4 linked regions of the Tamandua tetradactyla genome follow. The protein of the gene in region 1 interacts with the protein of each later gene in a biochemical or structural test. Links are inferred from orthologs where the notes say so. Each region holds a gene or a part of one and is shown on either strand. Other genes may lie near its edges.

Evidence for each region.
Region 2: of the proteins of MAPK8 (region 1) and ITCH, one has a biochemical effect on the other in vitro, tested with the Homo sapiens proteins (2 studies listed by BioGRID). The link is inferred for Tamandua tetradactyla from reciprocal best matches to the Homo sapiens genes MAPK8 and ITCH.
Region 3: of the proteins of MAPK8 (region 1) and STAT3, one has a biochemical effect on the other in vitro, tested with the Homo sapiens proteins (2 studies listed by BioGRID). The link is inferred for Tamandua tetradactyla from reciprocal best matches to the Homo sapiens genes MAPK8 and STAT3.
Region 4: the proteins of MAPK8 (region 1) and GSTP1 form a complex in vitro, tested with the Homo sapiens proteins (2 studies listed by BioGRID). The link is inferred for Tamandua tetradactyla from reciprocal best matches to the Homo sapiens genes MAPK8 and GSTP1.

The regions. Positions count from the first base shown.
Region 1 is NC_135339.1:7,464,691-7,472,232, reverse strand, and holds the start of MAPK8 (mitogen-activated protein kinase 8), read left to right. Parts: upstream 1-4,531; 5' UTR 4,532-4,695; intron 4,696-7,542. UniProt on the Homo sapiens protein: Serine/threonine-protein kinase involved in various processes such as cell proliferation, differentiation, migration, transformation and programmed cell death.
Region 2 is NC_135327.1:18,487,562-18,494,807, reverse strand, and holds the start of ITCH (E3 ubiquitin-protein ligase Itchy homolog), read left to right. Parts: upstream 1-4,246; 5' UTR 4,247-4,368; exon of another isoform or gene 4,369-4,420; intron 4,421-7,246. UniProt on the Homo sapiens protein: Acts as an Acts as an E3 ubiquitin-protein ligase which accepts ubiquitin from an E2 ubiquitin-conjugating enzyme in the form of a thioester and then directly transfers the ubiquitin to targeted substrates.
Region 3 is NC_135332.1:24,834,857-24,842,336, forward strand, and holds the start of STAT3 (signal transducer and activator of transcription 3), read left to right. Parts: upstream 1-4,463; 5' UTR 4,464-4,679; intron 4,680-4,795; exon of another isoform or gene 4,796-4,947; intron 4,948-7,480. UniProt on the Homo sapiens protein: Signal transducer and transcription activator that mediates cellular responses to interleukins, KITLG/SCF, LEP and other growth factors. Once activated, recruits coactivators, such as NCOA1 or MED1, to the promoter region of the target gene.
Region 4 is NC_135335.1:6,798,783-6,806,217, reverse strand, and holds GSTP1 (glutathione S-transferase P), read left to right. Parts: upstream 1-4,434; 5' UTR 4,435-4,539; coding exon 4,540-4,540; intron 4,541-4,717; coding exon 4,718-4,753; intron 4,754-5,006; coding exon 5,007-5,113; intron 5,114-5,217; coding exon 5,218-5,305; intron 5,306-5,700; coding exon 5,701-5,804; intron 5,805-6,809; coding exon 6,810-6,917; intron 6,918-7,103; coding exon 7,104-7,292; 3' UTR 7,293-7,365; downstream 7,366-7,435. UniProt on the Homo sapiens protein: Conjugation of reduced glutathione to a wide number of exogenous and endogenous hydrophobic electrophiles. Involved in the formation of glutathione conjugates of both prostaglandin A2 (PGA2) and prostaglandin J2 (PGJ2).

The sequences.
Region 1 (7,542 bases):
AGCATCAACAATGCTTGGAGGGCACTTGCAATATCCCCCTCTGGGTTTCTGATGCTGTAGGTCCGGGTGGGTCTGCGAATTTGCATCTTCAACAAGGTCCCAGGTGTTGATGGCATTGCAGGTCTGAAGACCACTCTGACAACTGTCCTAGAGGACCAAACGTTGATGGTTTTGTCAAGAGAACTTATGTAACTCAACCTACAGGTTTAGCTAGTTGACTGTCACTCTCTCTTGCTCACATGTGAAGTAACTTGTGCCTATGGGGGTGAGAGAAAGGGAAGAAGGGGGCCAGGCAAAGAGGGGGTGCCACCTGTCACGTCGAATCAGACCACCATGACCTTTTTTTTTTTTTTTGCATGGGCAGGCACTGGGAATCAAACCCGGGTCTCTGGCACGGCAGGCAGGAAACACTGCCACTGAGCCCCCGTGACCGGCCCCATGACTTTCTCCTCCACCTTGTTTCACCCGGGTTGTGGCAGAGGAGCTCCCGTCATTTTCGTCTGTCTTATCCCTGAGTACACCCATCTGCCACAGTTCTGGCCAGTGGAGAGAACAATCTGCAATCAGAATGATCATCTTTTGATTAGGCTGCCAGGGGCTGTCCACCCCCATCAGAAACCAGCCATGCCTGCCTTGAAAGAGCGTTGCAGAGCCTCGCAGAGGGGTCAAAGCTGAAAGACCCAGGGGGTGACTGACCGAGGTACAGAATCTCTTCCTCCAGTGGGGGGAGAAGGGGCCAGGACTGGGTTGAGGGTGGGAAAGCAGGCAGGAAGCGGGACAGCCAGAAAAAGCTAAAGGAGAATGGGGCTGGGGGCTGGGGGTAGGATCTGGAGAGGGGATGCATCCTCTGGGGTGTCCTTCTGAAGTCAGTAAGTCCCTCCGCCCTCCAGCCCTGGAGGCAGGTCAGGGAGGGAGCACGTGAGAGAAAGCCTCAATTTCGGTCTTCTGTCGCCTGAACTGCTCGGGGAGATAACCCTGACAGCTTAGCCAAAAGGACCAGCTGCATTATAATCCAGGTAGTCTGGGAAGACTGGCCATCCCTCAGGAGCTTCAGCAGAGGCTGGGTGTAAGGACCCCACAGTCTCCCCTTCTCTCCTCCCTCTATCCCAGCCTCAGGGAGATCTGAGGATGAGCTGTGGCCAAGACAACTCCCCTGGCATAAGAGGCAATAGGCCTGAATTCCTTAACTCATCCTGTTTTGTAGAGCCAGCCCCCAATCGGTTCACAAGGAACCCTAATAAGTTAACAAGGACAAGTGCCATGAGAAAGAAGAGGGAGGCCCTGGTCCACATCTGGGTTATATAAAGCATTTTGAATTTGCAGAGATTATATTCAAAGACAAGTAGCAAAGGGCTTTCTGAAGTCACACACACACACACACACACACACACATACACGAACACACAAACATGTGGGAGGTGCTTTCTAGGCATAGACTATTGGAAGCTGACAGTGGGAGGCTGCTGCTAAATCCAAAGCTCTCCCTGTTGAGAGGAGCAGAGGCTAAGAGCTTTACAGAACTGGGCACGGAACTCGGAACTTCTGTTCTGATTCAACCGCTCGGGGGTCAAATTGCCTTTTGCTAGGCCCAGGTCTTCAACTTGTCTGGTGATGTACCTGCCAATACCTCCATCCTTGCACCCAGTCACATCCCCTCCTGCCCTCCTGGGGGCCCCAGGCTGATGCTTACCCCTTCTCTTGCTTGTCATTCAGATTCCCCCCGCTCAACAGCATGTTCCCGTCGGATTTAAAAATATGCCATCTCCCCTTCCCTTCACTGCTGAGCTCATCCGTACCCACAGTCTCCATTTTCTCACCTCCCACTCATCTCTCAACCCCCTCGAATCCAGTTCTGGCCCCATTCCTCCAGATTTCCAAGGCTCCTCTTACATTTGGTATTTGATATTATGGATCGCGTCTTTCTTCTTTAGCTCCCCTCTCTCCAAGTTTCCCTTCTAGCTCCCTGGCAGCTCCACCTCTTCTCTTCTTGCTCACTTGTCCTCTTTCTTCCAGCTCACGCATCCATACCCATGGCTTTGTGTGGTGGCTATCTGTGGACAACTCATCTCTTACCTAGCTGAGCCCAGGCTCTGGATATCGAAATGCCAACTAGGCCTCTCTCCTTTGGGCATCTCAAAGGCCTCAAATGAAACCGGGTTTCTATCCAAACCCGGTAGTAGTGTGTCCCCTGCCCCCACGCCACCCCCAGAAGGTATGCTGACATCCTAAACTCCGGTGCCTCCGAATATGACTTTATTTGGAAATAGGATAGTTACAGATGAAATTGGGCAAGTTAAAAGAAGGTCATACTGAAGCAGGGTAGGCCTTAATCCAATATTATTGATGTCTTTATAGGAAGGGGAAAGGAGACAGACAAATAGAGGGGAGAAGGTCCTGTAATAAGTGAGGCAGAGATAGAATTTTGCCATAGCCAAGGACCCTCCCCCCCTCCCTCCCACCCTCCCCAAAATTTGCTGGCTGCCACCAGAAATCTAGAGAAAGGCATGGAAAAGGTTCTTCCCTGTAGACTTTGGAGGGAGCGTGGCCCTGCTGAGACCTTGATTTCAGACTTCCAGCCTCCAGAACCGGCAGAGAATAAATTTCTGCTGTTTCAAGCCACCCAGATTGTAGTGCTTCGTGATGGTGACTCCAAGAAACTAAAACACAAGCTTCCCTACCTCAGTGAACCAGCCCTAATGCACAAACTTTGTCATAAGCCAGAAAACTGTGACTTGTCCTTGATGACTCTCTCTCCTTCCCTGCCTCATCTAATCCATCACCACGTCCTGGGCATTAAATATCCTAAATGGTACTTGGATCCGTCACCTTTCACTATCTTAGCAGCCCATAGCCCTAGTCTAAGCCTCCATCCTCTGCTATCTAGACGACTCCTACATACACCTGGCCTCCTTCCAATAAAGGATCTTTTAAAGAAGCCACCCACTGCTGAAGCACACCAGGGCTTAGACGAGGTGTCGACGTGGCCAGTATGACTGTACTTGGTATGGCGCTTTACCAAATATGGCTTTGCCCCATAGCCCCATCTTCCTTCTCTCTGTGTTCCAGCAACACGGGCCTTTCCTCAGTTTCCCCAATTCACCCAGCTACCTGACCTCACTGGGCTTTTGCACACCAAGTTGCCTCTGTCTGAAATCTGTGCCTCATTAATTGTATTCTCCACTTGGTTGGCAGTTCCTCAGGGAAACCTCTCCTGGCCTTGTTAATTTTATTAATTGGTTTCATAATACTATGCTTCCATATCAATTTGTATATAATATGGTGATAACTTTGCATTTACTGTTATTATTTCCACATTACAGCGATTAAATTTTCCAGCGTTAGTGCAGTGTCTGGCACAGTGTGGGCATGCAATAAATATTTATTGGAGAAATGAAGGACAGAAGGGAGTAAAGAAGGCTAAGAGGGAGGGAGAGCCCCAGGAGAGAATGAAGGAAGGAAGGAATGGTTACACTCATGTTTCCCTTCAGAATCACTGGGCACAGCTCAGCCCAACACGTTATGGGAAAGTAGTCTAGCTGCATCCACTCATTTACTCAACAAATATTTACGTATTCAGTAGTAAAGTAGCTCATTTATTTCTTGGAAACCATGGAAAACACCTAATGTATAAAGGAGAAACAAACCACCTTTCATTCCATATCCAATGATGAACTGCTTCTAAAATATTTTTGAATATTTCTCTTCCAGTTTTTTTTCCTATGCATATAGTTCATAAGGGGGATCATTTTATGTATATGTATGCACACACACGCACGCTTGTATCTTCTTTCTCTTAATGTTACATTGTGAACATTTTCCCATAGCTGTAAGAATTCCTTGCACACGTGGGTTTTAAATGGCTAAAATGTATTCATTTCATTGCATGGACGTACTTAAATACCTTTCCACCTACTGTCTATTGTCGGATATTTAAGGGCTTGTCTAGCACTTCCAGTGACCATTTGCAAAATATTTACCGTGCTTTTTAGGGCCTCAGAGATAAACAGGTAAGGTACGGATTCTGGGAGGAAGTGGATTTGGGGAAAACAGGAGGAGGCTCTTTCCGGGAGCCTGAAGAAAACAGTTATTTGCTTGAGGGTTGCAGGTCCCGGGTAGGTGCCCTCGGAGTGGAACGTGCGATGTGTCTAAGTGAGGAGCTCTTTGCCTCTCAGATGTGCAGCAGGCGGGAGGTGACCTCTGAGGGGCGGGTCGGGCCAAGGCTCCTAACCTCCTAGTCCAGGGCGGAGGAACTGCCCGCAGGCGGGGGCCCAAGCCACGCGCCGCCACGTGCCCGGCACAGACCCCGCCCCTCCCGCGCCCGCCACGCCCCTCAGCCGCTTGGCACGCGGGGCCCCTGGCCCCCCCAGCTCCGCCCCCAGGCGACCTCCGCATAGCCTCCTTCCTCCCGGCATAGCCCCGCCCCCTGCTGCCGGCCCCGCCTCCGCAATCCGGGCCTTGGGGCCGCGTCCACCCCGCGGGCCGCTCCGTAGGCGCGGGAGGCGGAGTCTGCGCGATGACGTAGACGGGCGTGCGCCGTGACGGCCCGCGTCCCTGTTACTCAGCGGAGCGGCGGAGACCGGACGACGCGGCCCGGGGTGCGGAGCCGCGAGCAGTGCTGGGTAACGGCCGTGGCAGCGTCTGGACGCGAGGGTGCCCGCCGGCTGACTTCCTCCCCTTCGTTCTCTCCGCTGCCGGGTGAGTGCCGCGCGCGCCGCAGGGCCCGGGCGACGGGGCGGCCCCGCCGTGTTTATGTTATTGTGCCGCCGCCGTCGCCGCCTTCGCCTCAGCAGTGACCCCCTCCCGGGAGTGGGGGCGGGAGCGCGCGGGGTGGGGGTGGGCCGGCGCGGGAACAATAGCTGCCCGGCAAGCGGGGGCCGCGCGGGGCTGCGGGCCACCTGGAGCCGGTCCCGGTGGGTCGAGCCGAGCTGCGCCGCCCGCCGTCCCTCTCGCGCGTGTCCCGCTTCCACGTCGGGAGGTTGCCGAGGGGCGGGGGCAAGTTCAGGAACGCCCGGGGGGAGGTCGAAACCGAGGCGTCCCCGCTGCCTCCCGGGTTCCGAGGCCCACGGGGACCGTGCTCTGTTCCTCGGTGGTTTCTTTGTGCTCACGTTTGCAGGCGAGCGCGGACAGCCTCGTCGGAAAGGGCCAGTGTGGCCTCCAGCCCGGGGCCTGTAGCTTGGGCGGGAGGTGGCTTCATTGAGCTGGGCTGGATCTTCCTCTTGAGGGTCAGTCCGTGGTGACCTTTTGACTTTTTCACCCCATCCTCCCGTGTCTTTGTCCTGCACTCACGTCCTCAATCCATACAACCAAGTGCGTTTTAAAGTACTAGGAGAAACACTTTTTCATTTTAATTTCCAAGAGTCTCCTGTTAGGTCTTCACTGTAAATGTAATGACATGTTGACTGCCTCGTATCAGACATTGTCCAGGGCTTACTATTTTTACCTCTCAAACTCAGTGATCTTTCGAGTAGAATTGTAGTGTCAGTCCATTGTGTTTTAAAATAAGCATCCAGCAAGTACCTCCTTGGCAATTAGAACATCTGTTTATTTCACTCATTCATTCAACAGCTGTTCTGTACACAGGTGGAGAGACTGAAAGGTAAAGAGAAATGTCCTTTAATAGAAGAGTGTGCTTTGATAGAAATATAATATGAATACCTTTAAATTACACAATTATGTAAGTCATGTGTTACGTACCTGATGTGTGTAAAAGAAGGTAAGGAGTCCTACTGTAGTTTATTTTCGTGTTTTTGAAATAGTTCGTCTGGAACTGTGAAAGTAATGATATTCTAGGAGCTAGTGCTACATTTGGTCTACAGGTATTTCTAAATTTTACTTTTTCTGCTCTTGTAAAGCCTCTTTTGTAGTGATTACCTCAGAATCTCCTGCTGTCATTTAAGCCTAGAAAGTCATGATGTAATGAACAAGTTCAGTGCAGTACCTCACAAATGCAAGCAATCAAAATGGGACTTCCTTGAGGGTAGGCCTGTCTTGCATTTGGGTTTCCAGCACCTAGCCTGTAAAGTAAGTGCTCAAAAAGGCAGGTTGATGAAAAGCTTCTTATAATTGATGAAATTAAAAGCAAGCCTTAAAAACAGTTTTGATGTTCCCCATAAAGTTCTGGAAGCGTCATGCAAACCGTCATTTCCAGATGGCTAAAGGATCAGTTCCTCTGTATCTGTCATGACAGTTGGGTCTTTTGAATCACCTCAGTATCAGTTTTTTACTATCACTTTTGGGTCATTCACTATCCTAAAACTTTCTCTAAAATGTTTTTTAATGAGGTAAGGTAAGTTGTAAGGTTAGTGTGTGTATATGCCTGTGATATTTTAGTAATAACCTACGATTGCAACGCATCCCTTTGTTAATATTTTTGAAAAGGCTTTTGGTGACTCCTTTATTTTAAGTGGAAAAGCTAGAACAAAGAAACAAGTCGCAGAAATGTATTAGAAATGTTTAATTTCAAATAGAATTTTAGAGAGGTTTATGAGAAATGTTTTTAAACTCTCATATTAACACTGATGAAACGTGGGCTTAAGATCAAAATAGTATTTTATCCAAGTTATATCTCTTTCCCACTATTTGATAAATTTTAGGATTTGTTTTGGATATGAAAGAATTTGAGGTGGGCTTATTTTTTATTTGATGTAGAATAGAATTGAATAAATTAGAAAATGATACTCTATTAAGATAAAAGTTATACCAGATATTTATTATTTTACCTAGATAAAATATGTCCGTTTGCGATAAGGGTTACTGATAAAAATCATCACAGTCAGGTTACATGAGAACCAAGATTTTTGTTTTGTTCTAAATTCTACGTTATATTTAGATAGCTTTGTTGTGATGCAATTCACGTATCATAAAGTTTACTCTACATGTGCAATTTAGTGGTTTTTAGTATGTTTACAAAGATGTGTGTAGACCCTCACTGTCTAATTCCAGAGCATTTTCATTACCCCAAGAAGAAAACCCATAACCATTAACTAAACTCCCTCTTCACTCTTCTCTGAGTCCTATTTTAGAGGAAGAGACAGCAGTGATTCTGTAGATAGGTATTTTGCATTGAGGAATTTGAAAGGAGCATCCTGGTGCAGTAGGAAGATTATGTCCTCATATGTCTCTATATTGTGGGGGAAAATGTCATTTGGGCAGAAATTAATGTCAGAATAAATTCTCCTTAAATTAATGAAGTTAATTAATAAGAATCTTAATTACTTACTCAGTGCCTAATATTTTGGTAATGACCTTGTGAGGATGCTGGATGCTTAGTGAAACATCTTGAAGTAATTTGTTGTCAAATGACTAGTCACAGATTATCCTAGTAGTAATTAAGAGGTTACCGAATAGAAGCCTGATTTTTAATAGTCTGCTTTGCCATTGAGTTGAGTTTTGACATATTTGAGTCATCTAGATAGTTGGGATGTTTTGTTGCAAATGTAGAAGTATAAAATAATATCTGGCTATCAAGATATTAGGTCTCTAGAGGTTTCTGGACAAGCCAGGGATATGAATGGCTGCCTTTCTGATTCATATAGTGCGAGG
Region 2 (7,246 bases), on another chromosome or scaffold:
TCAGTGCCTGAGACCAGGAGAAAACTATTTCCTAGGGGAGAGGGGACATTGGGAATTTTGTAAATGAGAGCATTCTTAGGCCACACATGCATACCCAAGACAAGACAGGCAGGATCAGCATGCATAGAAAAGATCAGGGTGACCCCTATACCTTGGTCTGGAGATATTCTCTGAACTCTTTGAATGGATAAGGCCTGAAGGAGAGCACTTGCACAGTTAAAGTTAACACATGATCCTGGATGGGGTGTAGCAGTGGAGGAGAGGAGACCCAAAAGGATATTTGTTGGGACATATGAAAAAATAGGGATATAGACTGTGAGATTTATATCAGTGTTAAATTTCTTGAGCTTGATAACTGCACTTAGGGTGAATACTAAGTGAATATCTCTGTCCTTAAGAAATGTACATGACAGTATTGAGTGTTTAAGGAGCATGATATATATACAACCTACACTGAAGTGTTCAGAAAATGGATTGATCAACAGACAGACAAATGGATAGATAGATGAATTGATAGACTGATTGATAGTTAGAATAATACGGCCAATGTGACAGCATGTTAAAATTGGTGGATCTGGGTATCTGGGTGGGGAGGGTATGTTGGAATTCTTTGTATGGAGTTTGTATTATTTTTGTAACTGTCTTGTAAGTTTGAAATTATTTCAAAATGAAAAGTTAAAAAAAATAAGAATAAAAAAAGCAGAGCTGCTCCAGGGAATAGAAGGACAGCAGCATGAGTAAGTGTTCTGTAGGGAAAGCCACTAAGTGACAGGTGGTATGTGGGCTGCTGGGGTTTCTGTCCCCACTCCTTCTGGCTCTGTATCCCTGGTACTTTCCCTTCCCATTGCCTGAGAAGACTGGAAAGCTCCTTGCCTACATGTTGGCATGCTTCTACAAGCCTACCCCTGTGCTGGCGTGTCGGGGCTCTGTCCTTTGCTGGCAGGGTGTCCAAGGCAGAAAGAGGGAAAAGTTACCTGGAGGCTTTATCAGCCACTAGCCCTATATTCTGACCAGGACAAAACTGAGCTGTTTTTTTTCTTTATCTCAGAACCTGGAAGCTAAAGATACATTGCATGGGAGATGAGGCATTTAGGCTGGGATCCTTGTCTTCACCAACTCAGCTCCTCCTTAGAGAGCTACCAACTCCTTACCCTTGATCTCATAGAATCTTCACAACATCCTAGCAGGTAGGATCTATTCTTATTTTAGAAATCTGGACACTGGGGTTCAGGTGACTTAACTAAAAGCCCACAGCAAGTTGTTGACACAGGCAGCACTAGATTCTTGATCCATGTGACTCCAAAGCCCAAATTTTTAACTCTTGCTGGTTTAGGTACTACCTACCAGGTCATAACTAATTTGTCCTGTTGGGGTTAGCAAGGTTAGTACAGCATAGTCTAGTATGGCTCTCAAAGTGTGATCCTGGGTATCAGTATGACCTGAGAACTTGTTAGAAAGGTGAATTCTCTGGGCTGGCCCCAGACTTCCTGACTCAGAAATTCTGGGGTGACACACCCTGCATTCTGAGTTTTAACATTCCCTTCAGGTGATTCTAATGCACCCTAAAGTTTGAGGTTCTTTGGCATGTAGTCGAAAGAGATATATTTTTAGAATAATATGAGTGTAAATATCAAACATATATTTGTTTTTAGTAAACTTATATTGACATATAATATAAATGCAAAAAAATGCACAAATTGTAAGTATCCTCTAAAATGAATTTTCACAAAGCTGACACACCTGAGAACCAGCACTCAGACACAGAACATTATTATCGATACTAGAAGCCCCTTTGTGCCTCTATCCAGGTGAGGCAGGACAGAATAGGGCATTGAGGCTGTGGTCCCTAGTTTTGTACCCAGTGCCAAAGGAGTTAATGCACAACTGCAAACTCCCTAGAACAAGAATTTCCTCCAAAGCTCAGAAATCCCCCAAAACCATAAAGCTTATTAAATCACAGGTCCAAAATGGACTCTTAGTTAATAACAGAAAGTCTGAGGTCATAAAGATTGTTAAACAGTGTGCTCAAAATGAACTTTTAGTAGGAGGTCACAAGCACCAATAGTTATCTCCTCCTGAAACATGGAAGACAACTGGCACTCAAAGGTCAAAATGGAAAATTGCTGCTAGCAAAACCTCCCTATGAAACCATGCCACCCGGAGCATGCCTCTTCCTTGAGCACATCTGCACAAATTTCTCTAGCGTGTACTAACTTTTCAGTAAATTTCAATGCTTACTGTTACTTGCTTTCTCATCCTTGAATTATTTCTCTCATCCTTGAATTCTTTCTTGGGGCAAGACACCGAGCCTGGAATGGAGCTCAGCTCTGGTGTTGGCAAAGCTCTGGTTACACAGGTGCTACCTCCCCTCAAAGGGCAACCACTATTCTGACTTCTAATGCCATATATTAGTTTTTTGTTGGGTTTTTTTTTGGCTTTTTTAAAGGGGAATTTAGTAAGTTGCAAGTTTACAGTCCTAAGGCTGTGAAAAAGTCTAAATTAAAGCAAGTCTATAAAAATGTCCAAATGAAGGTATCAACAAGAGGTTACCGTCACTCAACAAAGGCTGATGAATTTCAGGGTCAAATGGAAAGGCACATGGCGAACATGGCGACATCTGCTAACTTTCTCTTCAGGCTTCTTGTTTGATAAAACTCCCTCAGTTTTCCTTCTTCATCCTCCAAAGGTCTCTGGCTGCCTGGGCTCTCTTGGTTCTTGTGCTCTCCTATGGCTTGCTAGCTCTCTCCAAAATGCTTCCTCTTTTAAAGGATTCCAGTAAACTATCATATATTAGTTTTGCCTAACATTTATAAAATTTTTAAAAATTGTAGAAAACAAAATCTGGAGCTAGAGGACTTGGTTGGATCCCTAGTTTCTGGCTGAGTGATTTTGGATTATCATTTAATTTCCTTGGGACTCTGTTTCCTTCTCTGAAGAATGACCATACAAGTAACTCATATCTTAAAGAGTCACTATATTTCTCAAACTTGTTTGGTGACAAGTATCATCTGGGGCACTAGTCAGGAAATGTGGCTTCCCCTAGAGTATACAAAAATTGTTTGGAAAAAGGAGAGGACAGGGGAAAAAAAATCTTACTTTTTAATGTATAGAGCACAGGTCCACAAACAGTAATAAACATATATGGTATATCTGTGGTATTAAAATTTCAGGGGAGCCAGTAGGCAAAAAAGTTTAAAAAGGCTCCTTAGGGGGATGGTAACGAAAAAAGGTTGAGAACACTGCCTTAGTGCAGTGGTTCTCAAAGTATGGGTCCTGGTTAAAAATACAGATTCTCCGGTCCCACTTCAGACCAACTGAATCAGAAACTTTGAGAGTGGGGCCCAGCCTTCTATATTTTAGCAAATCCTCCAGTGATTCCCATGCACAGCAAACTTTTGAGAATCAGTATCGTAGAGAATGTGACTGAATTAGGCGGCCAGGAAGTAATATTTTTCTCTAGCTCTGCTGAAACTATTGTGAGAAACTCTGACACGGTGGATTTGAAGTTCTCTGAAAAATGTTTAAGTGGCTTTTTCGATGGTTAAATATTATTTTCATTAGGTGCAAACAGGCTAAACAATAGTAGCAAAAGTCACTAATTACTGACCATTTAGTCCCTACTTCCCAGGTCTTACTGGCACAGCTTGTGTCAACGACAACCCCTGAAGGAAGGCTAAGAGGATGGGCTCCGAAGTCAGATCGCCTAAATTCTTATCTCGCTTGTGACCTGGTTTATGCAGCCGTAAAATGGAGACAGTAACAATTCTTCCCTCATAGGTTTGTATTGAGGATTAAAGGAGTTTAGTGATGAGTACTCTAGAATACCTGTGGCCATTTAACTGTAAGCTACTATCATCATCCCTTAGATCATCCTGTTAAGAGGTGGAGAAAGGGGGATTTTAACCCAATCAGTATAACTCCACAGCAAAGGACTAAGTTGCAGTCCAACGATTCTCAAAGTGTGATCTCCTACCTACTGGTAGCATCACCGGAGAACTTGCTCGAAATGCAAATTATCAGACCCCACTCTAGACCTACTGAATCAGAAACTCTAGGGATGGAGCCCAGCAATCTATGGTTTAACAAACCCTTCAGGTGATTATGATGCACAAATAGAGTTTGGGAACCAGAGCCCTCCCACCTGCGGGGACGGAACTCGGCTTTAGGGCGCATACTAGCCCCCGCCCGCACTTCAGGGCCGGAGGCGGACGAGTGAGCAAGGCCTGCTGGGGCTTGTAGTCCGGACAGCTCCCGAGCTGAGGCGCCTGCGCGTTGGCTGCCAACTCGTTCTAGTCGCTGTAGTTGGGGCTCGGGACCGGCTGCCATCTTAGTCGAGCGACTGAGGAGTCGCCGCCGCCCCGAGTCCCGGTAAACACCCGCGGGCGGACCGGGGGCGGTTCCAGGGAGAGGGGAGAACCGGGTGAGAGTGTCCGGGAAGATCGAGAGGTAGAGGGGTGCGGCGCGCGAGCCGTGACCCCAGAGTCGCGGCTGCTCCTTCTTCCCTTAGAGTCAGTGCCCGTGGGGGGCGCGGGGAACTCGGGTTAGTGACCCGAGGCTGGGGGTGGGGTGGAGGGGGCGGTCGACTGGTCGGGCCGGGCGGCCAGTGCGAGGCTAAGGCACCTGGAGCCCCTCTCCTCGCGGGCGCCAAGTTGTGAGGGAGCTGGGCAGCAGTGGGTTCGGGCAGGGTCCGGCACCGCGCTCCTCTGCCCCGCCCGGGGGCCACTCGCGGGTGACCCGGCCTACACGCGGACCCGGGCGGCTGTGAGCGACGTGGCCTCTGTGAGGGGCGGTTTCTGGACCCACCTACTCCCTGGCTGGCTTGCCCAAGACTTTTTGTAGCCCCCAGTCGCGAGGGGGCCCAGCACAGCGGCTCTCTTCCCTCCCTTCCTGTATTCTCCTCCTCCTTCCATTGTCCCCCCGCGTGGTGGTCCTGGCCCGGGCGCCCTCGCCCGCACCCGCCACCGCTGGGACCCCGGCCCGCGCCTTTCTGCGCCAAGTTTGCAGACGTGAAGCTGTCACCGTTCTCCCTCCGTAGTGTGCCCTTTTCTGTAGCAGAGTAAAGAAAAAAGTAGCCGTGAACGATGTCTAAGTGTTTGAAACATGTTGACATGAATTTAAATGGGGGATTCAAGTTTTCAGACTTAGTTTGGCCCGCGACGTGGAGACACACAGGGTCTGTGTACCGATGTAGACTTTGGGCCTAAAGTTAGTCATCTCTCTGACCAGGTGAACTTGCAAACTCCCCGGAATTCACTGTTCTCCAGTGACAGTTTATCTTGTTCTCTTGGTTATATTCGTTTCTTAATCTTGTTACATTTTCTGTCGTTATTCTACAGCTGCAGTATAGTTTTTGGGGGAGGGGTTGGGGAAGGAATGGTAGGATTTTTCTTTGAAAATTTGTGAAGCACTATAGTTGCACTAAATCTATCTCTAATATAATTCCATCTTAATAAAGTATATAAAGGCAAATTTATTTCCACTCTCAAAATTGGCCAGGGACTTGTTTCACAGCTGAAATAAAGTTCTCATGGCAGATGTAGTGAGAACCTGCACTGTGTAATCACACGTTTTCTCAAGGTACAGTTATTTCATTTTTGAGATCTAGAAATGAAGGTGGAAATTCAGCCTTCTTGAATAGCGAATGCAAACTTTTTGAGTTTCACCTTCACTATATAAAGGAAATCAACCAGAATATAGTATGAAATAAAAAGCAAGTGTAGAATACTTTTTCAGCATGTTCTAGAATGAGTCATTTTTCTACATTCTTTTTCAAAACACATCTTTACACCTTTTGGAAGATTTCAGAAGAAGCCAGTGGTCTCTAAATTTAACCATTAGAATAACTAGGGTTGCTTTTTAAATATAGAAATTCCAGGGTCTTACCTCCTGAAATTAATTTAGTAGGTCTCTGTTGGTCCCCAAGGCATGTTTTTAAAACATGGCTTTGTAATTCTGATGGTCTTGGGAATCACTAATATAAACAATACCATGGACACATAGCCCAAAAAGTTCTGAGAAAGGTCAAGAGGAAGTGGCCAGTTACACCTGGGGGTTGGTCAGAGAAGGAGCAGTACCTGTCCCTGGACCTGAAGTTGGGTCTAAAGTGTTAAATAGGAATGTGACAAATGGGGAAAGAGAAAAAAACATTAATCCTATCTGTAAATGCAGAGGCCAGAAAGGTGAAACAAGGCAAGTATATGAAAAGTTCTAAGCATAATGCTAAAAATTTGAATTTTTAATAGATACAGATTTTTAGGCAGGGAAGTGATATGAATATGTGTGTTTTAGAAAGGTTCTGGTGATAAGAGTGAAAGAATGAAGAGGGGCTATTGGAGAAGTTCAGATGAGAGGTGACAAAGCCTGACCTTGGAGAGAGGCTTTGGGGATGATTGAGGGATTGAATTTGGTTCTTCACTGGTACAGTAGTATTTCTACTTTAATTGTGGATTGGGACTTTTTAGGGTCAGTTTGGGTAAAGGACTCTTTTCTGTCAAGAGTCCATTAGTAAATCAGAGTAATATTGTTGGCTTGTGTATGTTAATGGTATCAGAGTGAGTTGTTCATTAGCATCTTTGAGAATTAGAAAAGGTCAGGTGTAATTTGGAGGAGGATTTGGACTGAAATTTATGAGTATTAACACTATTGATCGAAGCTTCATTGAATGTAATTGTTTTTCTTCCATTCTACAGAAACTTGGTGTTGGAATTTTAGAGTTGGGAGAGATTACAGAGATCATCTAGTCCACATTTGCAAATATATTTTGGTTTATGGGTCAACCCTCACTGGAAGTAGCTGCAGAAGGACTGTTGCAGTTCTGGTCATGAGTGTTCTGGGAAAGTGTGTTATGATTGGACGCACTTACCTAGTAGATAGGTTTTTTGCCTATTGTAGCCTCTTAGTTTTTGCTTTGCTTAAAAAAAAAAGGAAGAAGAAGACTAAAGAGGTTAAATAATTTTCCTAAAACTAGTTAAGAGTCAGCTAGACCTAGAACCCAAGTTTTGTAACCCTAGTTGGTAGTCTTAAAATATACCAAGATGAATGTATACTACTAAGGAGCTTTTGGTATTAGAGAAAAACAAAAACAAAAGTATTTCTGGCCTGTTCCTCTTGACTGTTTAGGCAAAATTTTTACAAGGAACTTTGGCTTAAAAGTGAGTTTTGCTTGTATTCATTCTGGCCCAAGAGATTTGTGTTTGGCTGAAGGAATAAATTACCTGTTTTCTTCCCTTCCTTTCTTTTTCCTCTC
Region 3 (7,480 bases), on another chromosome or scaffold:
GGTGGTGGGGTTCTCAGGGTAAGTGTCTCAAGAGCAAAGGTCAGATCAAAACTGTACCACCTTCTATGACCTAGCTTCAGAAGGCAGGCAGCATCTCTTCCACTGCAATTTATTTGTTAGAAGTGAGTCACCAGGGGAGGGGAATTAGATTCTACCTATTGGCGGGAGAAGTGTCAAATAATTTGTAGACATGTTTTAAAATCACCATAAACTCAGTGGGCTTCTACATTCTGCCTTAGTTCCCTTGGTGAGTGGAGGGGTGTGTATCTCCACCTTTTTTCCTCCTTTAGTCCCTTCCTTGGGGCTCGTAGAGGATCATGAGGTCTAGAGATAAAGTCCAGGAAGAACAGCTATTCAGGCTCTTGAATGAGGCATATTTGGATTTGAATCCTGTTTCTGCCACTTACCATATCTATGTTCTTGTGTAAATCACTTGAATTTGGGTAAGCCTCGTTTTTACTTGTCCATAAAATTATAGTATCTTATAGTTACTGTAAGGACAAAAGGATTAAATAAATTAATACACGTGTCACATGAGTAAATACAAGCTGAGAGCAGTGGCTAGTACCTGGTTAACATTCTGTAAGTGGTAGCTATTGCTGATATGATTATTCAACACATATTTATTAATATGTAATTAATTCAGAATTGGGCGAGCTTTGAGCTGGCTGCTAGGAGCTGGGCTTATGAAAAGGAACATTATACAGCTTAGCTGTATAATATTAGCATATATATTATAGGAACTATATTAGCATAGTTCCTGGAACATACTAATTACTCCGAAATGTTAATTATTAATTTTGTTTACCAGGAAGTAGGTTGATAAATGGATACATTACAGTCCAAGAAGATAAATGGCTTGCTAGATGTGGCAATAACCCGCTGAGGAAGTCCAGCAGAACAAGATTTTAAATTTTCAAGGAAGAATCTAAGAAAGCCCAGAGGAGGTAATGTTGGAATGGGGCCTTGAAGGGTAAGAGTTCTTCGGGAAGGAAACAAGGATGGGGAGGTCTTTCAGGAAGAGGGAATAATACCTGCAAAGGCGTGGAGTTGTAGAAAGTGCTGACATGTTTGGAGGAAGGTAGTAAGCCCAGCGTGGGGGCATAGGGTACGTGGGATAGAGGAGAAGAGACTGGAAAATGGGGGTTAGGCCATACTCAAATGGCTACTACTTAAAAAAAGGAAAATAACAAGCGCTGGCAAGGATGTGGAGAAATAGGAACACTTGTGCATTATGGGTGGGAGTGTGAAATGGTGTTACTGCTGTAGAAAACAGTTTGGCAGTTCTTAAAAAGTTCAACATAAACACCAGGAATTGCTGGCAACCACCAAAAGCGAGGAGAGAGGCATGGAACTGATTTTCTCTCAGAGCCTCCATAAAGAACCAATCTTGCTGACACCTTGATTTTGGCCTTCTGGCCTTCTGAACTGCGAGAGAATAAATTTCTGTTGTCTAAAGCCAAAAAGAAAAAAAAAAGTTAAACAGAGAATGACCACATGACCCAACAATCCCTCTTCTAAGTACGTACCCAAAATAATGGAAAACAAGGAATCAGACAGAGATCTGTTCACTAAGGTTCATAGAAGCTTTATGTACAATAGTCAAAAAGATGGAAGCAACCCAACTGTCCATCCACAGATGGAGGGAGAAACAAAATGTGATATATACATATTACAATGGAGTATTATTCAGCCATAAAAAAGAAATGAGGTGCTGGTACATGCAACAACATGGAGGAACCTTGAAGACATCATGTTGAGTGGTATCCAGACACAAAAGGACAAATATTTTAGGGTCTCCTTTAAATGAAATAATTAGAATATGCAAATTCATAGAGAGAGAAACTAGATTACAGTGTACCGGGGTGGAGGTGGGGGTGAAGAATGAATGTTAATGTTTAATGGGTATGGAGTTTCCGTCTGCGGTGATGGACAAGTTTTAGTATGGGACGGTGGTGATGGTAGCGCAACATTGTGATTTAACACTACTGACATATATCTGAATGTGTGGTTAAAAGAGAAAATGTTATTTTGTATATATATTACCACCACCACAACTTTTTTTTAATGATTTGCCTAATCAAATTAAAAACAGGGGAGGGGACTAGGCGAGACTTTTTAGGATTTTGTGAGTCAAACTAAGAAAGGGAAAGAAGAACAATTGAATTCCTACCATATACCCAGCTCTGTTAGATGCTCAGTATTTCTCATTTTGGTGGGATTTTATCCTATAGGTAATAGGAAACAGATTTTTCAGCAGGTCATAACACAACTGGATATTTATTTATTTATTTATTTATTAGGATAATGTCCTTCATCATCCACCTCAGCCAGGCGAAGGACAAGGTTGGAGTGAGGAGAGAATATTCCGGGGGGCCACAGCACTGTCCCAAGTGACAGAAACCATCTGCTTTAACCAAGGGTGCTTCTGAGTAGGTATGGAGAAAGGCCAGCGGCAGGACTGGAGAGAGGTTTTGTAGGTCAGGTGGATAGTCTGCTCAGGGGCAGATTTTGTGTGTGAGGTGGGGCTGGTGAGGGAAACAAAGCCCTTAGGGAGAAAGGCAGGTTTTGAGTGGCTGGAGCAAAGCTAAGCTATTCAGAGTCCAAAAATGTGGCTGTAAACCCACTGGTTTACTTCTGAGTATCAATCACTGGGATCTTGAGGATGTCAGCTATCTTGGCCTTAGTTTCCTATCAGTGAATAATATGACCTCTCTTATTTGTCAAACATGATTGTTGTGAGAAAGAAAATAGATAACGGGTGTGAAAGGGCTTTGTTAGCAGTAAACCACTAAACAAAGGCACTATGTTATTAGAGAGGGAGTCAACTGCATGGAACAGCAAAGCTAAAGCAGAAGTTAGCTGAGGTAGAAGGTGGGAGATGTCTGTCCTGGTCTGGAGATAAGATAAACAGAGCAATCAACACAAATGCACACACACACACTCACACCATACAGATAAGTACAGAAATTTCTTTACTGGATTGGGTGTACAGGAGAGCAGTGGGAGACTCTCAATCCTGTCACTAATGACCCTATCAGTTGTCCTACAGATGCTTTCACCTGCTATTTGGATATGTCTGAATCTAGAGTATTCTGAGGGGCTTCAGGTAGCCAGGGAACCATGTGAATTTGTGAGTAAAAGCTCTTGCTGTATTTTTCTGGAGTTAGAATCCAGATGCCACTCCGACTCTCTGAAGGGTCTGTGACTCCTACCCCTCAAAGGTTAAGACTCATTCATTTTCTCATCAGAAATTAATGAGAACAGTCATCCTGGGGTAACTGGTGAGGGAAAGGGGAGGAATAAATTTTCATTTTTCACTTTCGACCTTTCTGAATTTTCTAACCAAGAACCTGTATTAGTTTCATTTGAAAACCTATTATTAGGGGTTATCTGGGTGTTAGGATGACTTTTTAGATATCGTCTTTACACCTGTTTGCATTAAACAAACAGAAATACCAATAACTTATTTTTTAAAAGCCCTGATAGTATCAGCCAAATAAAACAAAGAAATCACTCCCTTATGCAAAGTTCATCCTACATCACGTAAAGCAAAATATCTACACTTCCTATTGACTACTGGCTTCAATTCAGTAAAACCTGCATATAAAGTAGATGAGGTGAAGGGAAAAAGCTGGCAAGTTAAGGTATTTCAACTCAGATGCCCCAAAATGTCAAATACTGTGTCAAATACGTGTCAACCTTCATATATATTATCTTCAGCATTCTCGTGTACCCGCCAACGGGCGAGCTGTTGGTGTTTGATTCTTGAAGCGATGGAACGGAGGACAGGGTTAAATTCACTACTGTCTCCCCACGCACTCTAACAATTACTCTATTTCCATGTCATGTTTCCGGGTGTGTGTGTCCCGACTTACACAGAACTTGAGTTCAAAACAGGCAGGAGATACCCATGTTCTTTTTGCTGTCGCCAGAAATCCAATTCAGGAATTGGGAGCCCTGAGGATCTGGCTATACGTGGGGACTGTCTAACTGGCTGATTCCCACATGGTAAAAGGTTCCCAACCTCCTCCCACGTGGCGCCACGGGCCAGGAAAAGAGCGAGCCGGCAGGCGAGAGCCGCATCAGGGGCATTTAAAGTGTCTTGACGTCACACACTGCCAGGAACTCAGCTGAGTTTTCAGCAGGACATTCCGGTCATCTTCCCTCCCTCCCTGCCGGTTTCTGGGCCGAAGGCCTCAGCTCTTCCCGGGCCGTTGCGGAGGGAGGAGCACGACGCCTTCCGGAACAGCCAACGCAGGGGCGTCCCCAGTCCTCTTTTGCCACCGCCCTTCCCCCCAGCGGCTGTTCTCATTGGTCAGTGGGTGTGGCTTCGCGTGCACAGGGCAAGCCGCGGGGCCTCCTGTGGCCCAGAAAGCTGGCCATCTCTTGAATTATGCATAAAGGCGTGTCTAGGCCAGGCTGGGGCTGGGCGGGATTGGCTGGAGGGGCTGTAATTCATCCGTTTCCGGAGCTGCGGCGCAGACCCGGGAGGGGGAGCTTGGGGTTCCGACGTCTCAGTGGAGGCCCTGAACCCGAACCGGATCTTTGACCAGCACCCCCACTCGGCGCGCTCTCTCCGCCGGTGCTAACTGAGGCGCTGCGGCTTGAGGGAGCCCCGTGCCCGCACGCCGGCCCAAGCGCAGCCCTTGCCTGTGGGGCCTCTACCGGGGAGACAGGTGAAGGGGGTGAAGGGTGGGGCAGCCTCTCCGGACGGCCCCCAGGCCTGACGCACCGTGGCGGGCGCCAGAGAGGGTGGAAGCCGCTGGGAGGGTCTTTCAGGGAGGGGGGTGTGAATGGAAACTTCAGTGGGGCGGGGAGATACGAGGGCGCGCTCGATCATTCTGAAGGGACACCTCCCAGGGCCGACAGGAGCGGGCCTCTGAAGGCAGAAGGGGCGCTGGAAGGAAGTTTCGTTCCAAGAGAAAGGGGAGAAGCCGCGGAAAAGTGAGAATGAGTTCGAGGGGTGGACCATGGGGGCGAGGGCCCCCTGGGACGGGGGTGGCAGGCGTGAGGGACAGCTCTCCGACTTCCTGCTCCCTGGGGCTCTGGAGACGTGCGGGCCTCAGGAGCGACTGTCAGGCGGGCGAGATCACTGTAGGGGGGCGCGTGGGAAGAGCCTCCTCCCGCGCGCCGCGGGCAGGGATCCGGCGGCTCCCGGCAGAGCCATTTCTCAGCCTGGCCGGGTTCCTGCTCCTTTAGGAGCCAGCTCTGCTTCTCTGGGGGGAGAAATAGGTGTCTTAATCCTAAAGCCCCACGGGCTGGTTGGTTGTGGGTAGGATTGTTGCATAAGAATCAAGTTTCCTGTAGGGAAATTGACAGACTTGTGCTTTCTAAATTTCCTCACATCTTGTTGTAGTTCAAGGCTTGCTTTCCCCATCCCCCACTCCTTTTCTAAAAACAAAACAAACTAAAGCCCCAGTCAAGCCAGCTCTAGAGAAGAATAAATCTCTTTCCTCCTTGACATTGTTCTTTTATGAATACCTGATAAACACGGTCAGAAGATAAATAATTGAGCCATTTCACTTACTGGATTGTGGTGTTGCTTAATTGCATAGGACAGAATGAACCAATCGAGAGTGGGAGTTTTCTGTCCCAGAGCCAAGATCTTGGGTAAATGCAGAAGAGAGGGAAACAAAGACAGGCTGGCTGGCCTTGGCAAAGTCATGTGTGCAAACTTTACCTGCGTTTGGGGTTGTGCTTCAGTTAGCAAAATTATATCATTCAAGTTGCTTTTTCCTTGCTTAGTATACAGCACTCATATCAAGTGGGTGTCTATATGTCGACACGATCAGTGGTTAGTTGCTTTATTTATTAAAAAATGTATATGGTGTGTGCCTGCTGATCTTTATTGTGTGTGTGTCAATGGTACACTTACTATGTGCCTAGTTTGTAACTTTTTGGCTGGCTGCACTAATAAGCATTGATTTGAATAAATCAAAATAGTAACTTATCTTGATCTTGTATATGTGGGTTTAGATTGCATTAGGACTCGATTCAGCCATATTTCTATTTTTTTTTGTTAAATATGTCTGTGTTCCTTGAGTCAACACGTTTATTTCCTTATTACATGTGCCAGACTGGAGTACTAGCAGAATTTTTGTTCAGACATTTGCACAGTGAGGTGGGGGAAAGAAGTCTGGAATAACGAAGAAAAAATTGCTTTAAATGTCAGAGGGTTAATCTTAGTCTCTATATTTGTTAGCAGACCCACCTCAAAGAACTGTTAGCAAAGTCAGGGATCTTTTGTTTTTAAATATAGTTCTTTTGGGAAGAAGAACCTGTTAGAAATACCCACAGTTATGACTTGACCTACAAAGGGCTTGTGAGGTAGGTAGTTTATATTAATATTTACCCATTTTGGAAATAAGGAAATTGAGGCCAAAGGAAGAAGACACTTGCTCCAAGGGAGCAGAGTGCCATAGTGGTGAAAGTACTATTGCCTGTACATTTTGTGTTCTTACACAGGTAAGTAATGCTTACTTATAAAGCCTTGATTTAGAGAGAGTGTAGGCCTTGCTTGGGAAAAGTGCCAGTGAAATTTTGACATATATCTGAACAGTGAAATACCTCTAGCAGGCTATATGACTTAACGGAAGACAGAGATTGATTCATGAACAGGTGAAAAAAGAAGTACTTAATAGGACTTGCTTAGGTTATTTTTCTGTCTAACTGCTATGTTTAAATTTAGTAGGGATAATTTACGTAAGAATTTCGCTATTTGGCTAATGAAAAGAGGTATTTACTTAGGAAAGTTTGTAAATGAAGGACAATCATGACCTAAATGCCACCTAAACCAGAGTGCTTTGTGTCTTGAGCATTAGTATCTGGTGTCTCCAGGAAGGTATTCTCTTTTTGTTTCCTCCTCAGCCCTTCACATTCAGATGTGAAGATGGGTTAGCGATGGTGACCATCCTTCCAGACATCTCAGCTCATGGTTTCCTAAGAGGTGGTGTACAAATAAGTAAAAAAAAAATTTACTGTTTGTAACTTTGTGAAAGTTGCTGGTGAAGAATAAAATGTATCTTGTTCACAGAACTTTCAGTCTGCTAGGAAAACTTTATAAATGGTTTAACCATCCAGGGTAACGTGTCATAAAAGAAGTGCTAGCAATAATATACCCATTATATATAAGAGAACATTTAGTACAGATGTAGAACATTTCTGTTATCCAGATAGTTCTGCTGGACAGTACTTGACTAAGAGCTATAGGTCTTGAGAAGACAAGTTATGAGTGCTGGAATTGTCAAGGAACTCTTCTTGGTAAAAGGGGTGATAGGAATTGGGTCCCATATAATGGGTGGAATTTTGATGGGTGTAAAGAATTTGGGGTGTGGTGGTATGGGAATATAGCATGAACAAAATCTTGGTAGGTCAGGAATATAAGTAGGGGAGGAAAAGGGCCTATTTATAAAAGTTCTTGAATGCAAGATCAAGGAATGTCGATTCTGTCCTTTTGTGGGGAGATGTGTTAAAGGTT
Region 4 (7,435 bases), on another chromosome or scaffold:
CAATGTAGGAGAATATTGTTGAGATTTGGAGCAGTAATAAAAGACTTTAAAAAAAAGTTTCAAAAACTCAAACCATAAGTTCCTACCCCACCCTGAACAAAAATTAAAAGCTAATGAGTTTGATTTCACTAAAATTAAGGCGTTCTGTTCAAGGAAAGGGGACTTGACTTGGACAAAGTTAAGGGAGTTGGCAGGATAGTAGATGGAATCTGCATGTCTAAAGCTAATGATGAAGAGGAAGGAGGCAACAAACTCAACAGAAAAAGACAATGTTTCAATTTGCTAAAGCTGCCTGAACGCAAATACCAAAAGGTTTGACTTTTACAAAGGGGATTTATTAGGTTACAAGTTACAATTCTAAGGCTCTGAAAATGTCCAAATTAAAACATCACAAGACAATACCTTCTCTGAGGAAAGGCTGCTGGCATCTGGGACACCTCTGTCACCTGGGAAGGCACACAGCAGGCATCTGCTGGTGCTTTGCTCTGAGATCTGATTTGCTTTTAGCTTCTGGTTCCAGTGCTCCCTGGGTGTTTCTCTCTCTCAGCTTTTCTGTCTTTTATCCCCTCATAAAGGACTCCAGTAAAGAATTAAGACCTACCTTCAATGGGCTGGGTCACAGCTCAATTGAAACAACCTAATCAAAAGGGCTCACCCACAATAGGCCTGCACCCACAAGAATGGATTAAAAGACCCTGGCTTTAAGGGTCACCCCCAGGAGAACCTCTTCTGTTGCTCAGATGTGGCCTCTCTCTCCAGCCAACACAACAAGCAAACTCACCGTCCTCCCCCTGTCTACGTGGGACATGACTCCCAGGGGTGTGGACCTCTCTGGCAATGTGGGACAGAAATCCTAGAATGAGCTGAGACTCAGCATCAAGGGATTGAGAAAACCTCAACCAAAAGGGGGAAGAGTGAAATGAGACAAAGTGTCAATGGCTGAGAGATTCCAAACAGAGTCGACAGGTTATCCTGGAGGTTATTCTTACGCATTAAATAAATATCACCTTGTTAGCCAAGATGTAGTGGAGAGGCTGGAGGGAACTGCCTGAAAATGTAGAGCTGTGTTCCAGTAGCCATGTTTCTTGAAGATGATTGTATAATGATAGAGCTTTCACAATGTGACTGTGTGACTGTGAAAACCTTGTGTCTGATGCTCCCTTTATCTACCTTATCAACAGATGAGTAAAACATATGGAATAAAGATGAATAATAGGGGGAACAAATGTTAAAATAAATTTAGAGTGAAATGCTGGTGATCGGTGAGCGGGAAGGGTGGGGGGTATGGTATGTATGAATTTTTTTCTGTTTTCTTTTTATTTCTTTTTCTGAATAGATGCAAATGTTCCAAGAAATGATCATGATGATGAATATGCAACTATGTGATGATATTGTGAATTACTGATTATATATGTAGAACGGAATGATCAAAAGTTAAGAATGTTTGCATTTGTTTGGTGTTTTTTGGTATTTGAAAAAAATGAAAAATTCATAAAAAAATAAAAAATAAATAAAATAAAATAAATTTAGAGTGAAAAAAAAAGACCCTGGCCTTTTGCTGGAGGTGGGGGGGGGGGGGATGGAGGGGTACATAACAGCTCCAAACTACCACAGATAAGAACAGGCTATTTCTAGAGAAGGAAAATAAAATCCAGGTAATACCTGAAAAGATGCTCAAAACTGTCACACCACTTTCCATCTATTGGGCAGGCAGGCTTTGGGAGGCTGCTAAGTCCCTTGTTGGATGTGGTTTCTGGTCAGCTGGGGCAGGTGGGGGTAGGGCCCGCTGGCAGGGCCATTCTGGAAGCAGCTGACTTTACTCATGCAAATCAAGTGTTCACATACCTGGGAGGCCGCAGCTCTGCTTCTGGGCCTGTGTCCAGAACTTCCTTGCCCGCAGGCTCTTAAGGGGACAGGCTCACGGATATACAGTCCATTAGGGTGGGAGGCGCTGGGAGGGACGGAGCGGAAGATGGGAAGGGCATGGGAGACGGGAGAGAGGACAAAGGGGACACACAAACAAGTACATACCAATAAGAGAGGACCCTGTAGCCACCCCCACCCCCTCCTTCCTCCCTGTTCCCCTCAAAGTCCAGCGCACACAGGAGGAGGCCAGGACTGGCCTGGTGGAAGAGAGAAGGACGGGACAAATGTCAATGAGCCATGGAAGTAATTTATGGTTCCTTTCTGCCACATTTTCTCCTGCAGAACAGGATTTCTCATACACTCCGGTGCAAAGGGGGAGGTGGAGGTAGGCTAATTTTTACTCCCCAGGGTCGGAGTGGTGAGAACGGAATAGAGGTGTGGGACTGGCACCGGGCCTGAGGCGTGGTAGCCTGAGTGTCTGTGACCATGAGAGTCTGTGTCAAAGTGTGAACGGGTTGTGTGAGTCCGTATGATTGTGTGTGCGCGTGCGGGTGTCTGTTTTATCTTTGAAAAGGTGCGGGAGGGTGCCGTGCTATAGGAGAAAATGCAGCAGAAAGAGAACGGCTCAATCTGTTTTGACATGAAAGTACGACTGTTTCCTTGCTTTATTTTTCTTTGCCTTTTTTTGCAGCGCATTGATAATCAGGGATGAAAGGCACCGGGAGGGCAGGTTCCAACTGCTTTTAGCACAAGCCAAAGGAGCAAATGAAGCTCTTCTGGAAGAAAAGGAAGAGAACAGAAGTTGTGCACTGGCAGGACCTGAGGGAATACGTGTGGCAAAGTCAGAGACACTCAAGAGAGCCAGGTCCCCTGGAGCTGGAATCCATTGCATGCTCTAGGGCCCAGGGCAACTTGGCCCAGCCCCTGGGAGGGCTGGACTACACCTGCCTGTCCCCAACAGCACCTGTCTCTGCAGCTGCCACCTCTGGCTGAGTCAGCCCTAGTGGGTGCCACCCCACCATGCCATGCCCGGCCCCCCACCAGGTGGCAGAGGTGGGGAGCAGCGCCCGTGCTGCCTTTTGGGGTGCTTTGAGCCAGGTCGGGTCGCTGGACCTATTGTGTCGGCCTCCCCCAACCCCGTCTCCCCAGGCCTGCCCTTCACCAAGGACACCCATCACCAACTTCAGGGGGCAACAAGAAAATGACAGTCTCACTGTCCACATATTTAATTACCTGATATATTGGCGGTGTGTGTGTGTGTGTGTTTCAGGCTTCTTCCTGCCCCTAAAGAATCACTGCTCTGGGACTGTGCAAAAAAAGAAAGAATGTGCTGCCCCTGCAGGAAAGCAGCCTTTCCACAGCCACCAAGTCCAGAAGCTTCCACCTAGATGTGTCTGGAGAACTTGCCCCAGGCCCTGCCCGGGCGGAGGCCACACCCACCTGCCAGGGGACCCCCTGCAGCCTTGGCCTTCTCCACCAGCTCCTCCCAGGCGTCTTTAGGAACTGTTGCTAAGGCCTGTTCCCTCTCCTCTCCATCATGGCGTGGGGGACAGGGCATGGGGGGATCCCAAAGGACAGGGTGTGACCTGGGGCAAAGCGGCACCCTTCAACCCTGGGACACCAGGAAACACCTCTCGGTTTGGTGCTGTTGCATCAGAAATGCCTCTCCAACCCTTGCTAACACGCTTTAAAAAATAGAGGGCAGAGCGGTGCAACAGTGGCTCAGTGGCAGATTCCCCCCTGCCACAGCCCAGACACGGGTCCAATTTCCCGGGCCTGCCCATGCCAACATAAATAAATAAATAAACAAAATAGAGGGCAGTTCTTAGTGCACCGACCAACCAGATTTAAAAACTGATTTTGTTCTGGTTGTTATTTTTACAGCTACCTTCATGTGTGAAACGAAGCTCCCCTTTAAAATAAGCTTCTGTGAGTGGAAAAAGTGTGGCAATTTAGAGAAAGATGAGAAGTAAATAGCACCAGGGGTATGTGGCCCCTGGAACAATCTGGAAGGTGACATACAAATGGTTGCTGTTGATTAAAAAAATACAACTTCCAGTAAGAGTTTAGGCGCATGTGTGTCTGTGTACAGGGCGGGTGGGTGGGGGCCTCTGGGCAGCGCCCATCGGAGTCTCTGGGAACAAGGCACAGGTGCAAGGTTTTGGGCGCAAGAGCTGTGCACCCCAAGCGGAAAAAGGGGCTGCACCCGGCGAGAGCCAAAGCTATGTGAGGTCCGGGTGTCCAGCACCCAGCACCAAGCCCCAACGCGAGTCCCGCGCACCCCTCCATGGGTGCTTAGCAAACCCTCGCGGGGAGAAGGTCGGGCGCGGCAGCGCGGGGAGAGGTGGTTGCGCCGGTGCGACGGTGGGGGCGGCCGGGGTGCCGTCTGCGAGGCCCGGGCGTCCGGGGTGCCCCTGGCGGAGCATCCGGGGTGCCTCTGGAGGGGCGAACGTGCGGAGTCGGGGCGTGCGCGGTGGCCCCGGCGGGACGAGCGTGCGCGTGCCCTGCCCAAAGCCTGCGCCCCGGCGGCTCAAGCAGGCTTCGCGCGGCGCGGTGACTCCGCCCTGGGGGCGGGCCTAGGGGCGGGCCACCCCAATTAGGCTCGGGGACCGCGGGGCCTGAGGCCCGAGTTCCGCCGCCGCCGCCGCCGCCGCACGAGCTCGCGTCTGCACCAGTGAGTCACCGCGCGGCGCGGGACCTCCGGGGTCCGGGTCCCTCAGCGTCAGGCCGGGTCCCGGGGCCCCTCCCGCGCCGGGCCGGGACCCCCTAGGGGCCCAGGGAAGCAGGCGGGTGTCCTTCCCCCCCCCCCACTTCTTTCCAAGCTCTAACGCAGTCTCTCTGTCCGTCCTAGTGCCACCCTATACCATTGTCTACTTCCCGGTTCAAGGTAGGGGCCTGTGCCTGGAGGGAGGGTGGCAGGGGGTGGGGCTGCAGTCTGGGACCCCTCACCCACCATGGGGAGTCTGGAACCCCAGCTTTTCCCTCCTGCTTGTGAACAAGTCCAGGCCGCCTTCCCCAGTCCCTGTGTGCAGGCTCCCTAAGGCCAGAGCAGCAGCCTTAGCCCTGCATGCACTCTGCGGTGACCATCCTGTCCCCACCCCATTCTCATTCCCCATCTCCGCCCCATGCCCCCACCCCAGGGCGCTGCGAGGCCATGCGCATGCTGCTGGCAGACCAGGGCCAGAGCTGGAAGGAAGAAGTGGTGACCAAGGAGACCTGGCTGCAGGGTGACCTCAAGGCCTCCTGTGTGAGTGCCCGCACCTGGGGTGGGGGAGAGGACTGGGCTCTGGGTGGGTGGGTGGGGAGGGGTGGCTGAGCTCAGCGCCCCTCACCGAGCTGTGCCACCCCCAGCTGTACGGGCAGCTCCCCAAGTTCCAGGACGGAGACCTCACCCTGTACCAGTCCAATGCCATCCTGCGGCACCTGGGCCGTTCGCTCGGTGAGTCCTGTGGCGGCGGGGACCCAGCTCAGGGCAGGGGGGCAGGGACACAAGGGCCAGAGTTCCCCCAGCACCCACTCAGGCCCAGCAGCCTGAGCTACTTCCAGCTGAAATCAAGGTGCCCAGCCCCTGTGGAGTGCATGCCACCCACTCTCTGCAGTTGAGGGAAGGGGGTCACAACTTGCCCAAGGTCAAGGCCAGCTCTGCTTGCCACCCTTACTCAGTGCCAGTCCCACTGGCGCAAGCTGTGCATCAGGCTCAACCTCAGCCGTCGTTTGTCCACGTTCTCCTGCTGTCCTCCCAGGCCCTGGGCTGTCAGTGGTCCAGCTGGGGGTGGGGGGGTCCCTTGTGGGCCAGGTGCCCAGACGTGCTGCCCACCTTCCCCCACCGCCCAGGGCTCTATGGGAAGGACCAGCGGGAGGCCGCCCTGGTGGACGTGGCGAACGACGGCGTGGAGGACCTCCGCTGTAAATACGTCCGCCTCATCTACACCAACTACGTGAGCAGGCTGGGGGTGGGCCCCGCGGGGCGACGCCAGGGCTCCCTGGACCCTCAGTCCCTCGGCCCATGTCCCTGGGCTCAGTTCCCAGGGATGGGACACAGACAAGGAATGGGTAGTACAGAATGGTACACGGACGGGCACATCCAGCGACAGGTGGCTGCTGAGCTTTTATGGGGCGGAGGTGGGGAGGGCTGCCTGCCACTTTCAGATGCATTGAAGTGTGCAAAAATGCAGAGCACATTTTGAGACCTGAGGCCAGTTTAGTAGAGACCTAGAGTGTGTGTGTGTGTGTGTGCATGCACATGTGTGAATGTGTACATGTGTGCAAGTGTTATACATGTGTGTGCTGTGAAGGTGTATTTGTGAGTGCATGAGTGTGGCTGTGTGCGTGTGTGCAGTATGTGCGTGTGGGCATTGTGAAGGTGTGTGCACAAGTGCAAGTGTCTGTGTGTGGACATGTGGACATGTGATTGGGAGTGCGTGTGTGAATGTATGCACATACAAATGTGCGTGAGCATGTGTGGGTGAGTGTGCATGCATGTGTGGAAGTGTGCATATATGAAAGTGTTTGCATGTGAGCACGTGTAGGTGAGTGTGTGTGCTCGTGTGTGTCTGGGTGGAGTTGTTCCAGGAGCTGGAGCTGGGGGCCAGCAGGCCCAGGTCACAAGGGCCTTGAGCCAGCGGGTGGAACCTGCTGCTGAGGACAGTGGGGGACCCCTGAGGATCTAAGCAGGGCAGTGTCCAAACGTGAGGTCTGAAACGACCCTTTGGGGGACCCCAAGACTTTTGCTATAATCTGGTGAGATGTCATAGCAGGAGTGGAAAGGCAGCCTGAAGAGGAGAAGAATTTGCAGCCTAAATGTTTGGGATTTGGAAATGGCCTGGGAGTCGGAGCCCAGACCTCCCGGTGCCGTCCTCCGAGATGGGGCCCACAGAGGGGGTGTTGGAGGGGCAGAGCCAGGACTGGGAGGAGGAGGCTGCACGGTGGCATCTTTTTGGCAGGAGGCGGGCAAGGAGGACTATGTGCGGGAGCTGCCCGGGCACCTGAAGCCTTTCGAGACCCTGCTGGCCCAGAACCGGGGTGGCCAGGCCTTCATCGTGGGCGACCAGGTGAGCGCTCGACCCAGCCCCCCCCCAGCCCGTTCTCCGCCCATTTCCCCGAAAGGGTAAACTGAGGCCCACAGCGGGGCCAGGGCTTGTTCAGCGGAGCAGAGGCCGAGCCAGCGCTCCAGCTCTGGGCACCCCCTGCTCTGTGCCGACGGCTGAGCCCCCCACCCCCACCCCCCTGCCCTGCAGATCTCCTTCGCTGACTACAACCTCCTGGAACTCCTGCAGATCCACCAGGTGCTAGCCCCCGGCTGCCTGGATGGCTTCCCCCTGCTCTCAGCCTACGTGGCCCGCCTGAGCGCGCGGCCCAAGCTCAAGGCTTTCCTGGCCTCCCCCGAGCATGCGAACCGCCCCATCAATGGCAACAGGAAGCAGTGAGGGCGGCGGGGCCCTCCGGGGAAACAGGCCTGCCTCCCTGGCCCCCCGAATCAATAAACTTTCTAAGAGAGAAGCTGTGCTGTGAGCATTGAGTTTCCTGGGAAGCGGGGGCTCTGGGGACCCTCACCAGCCAGCCTAGGGGT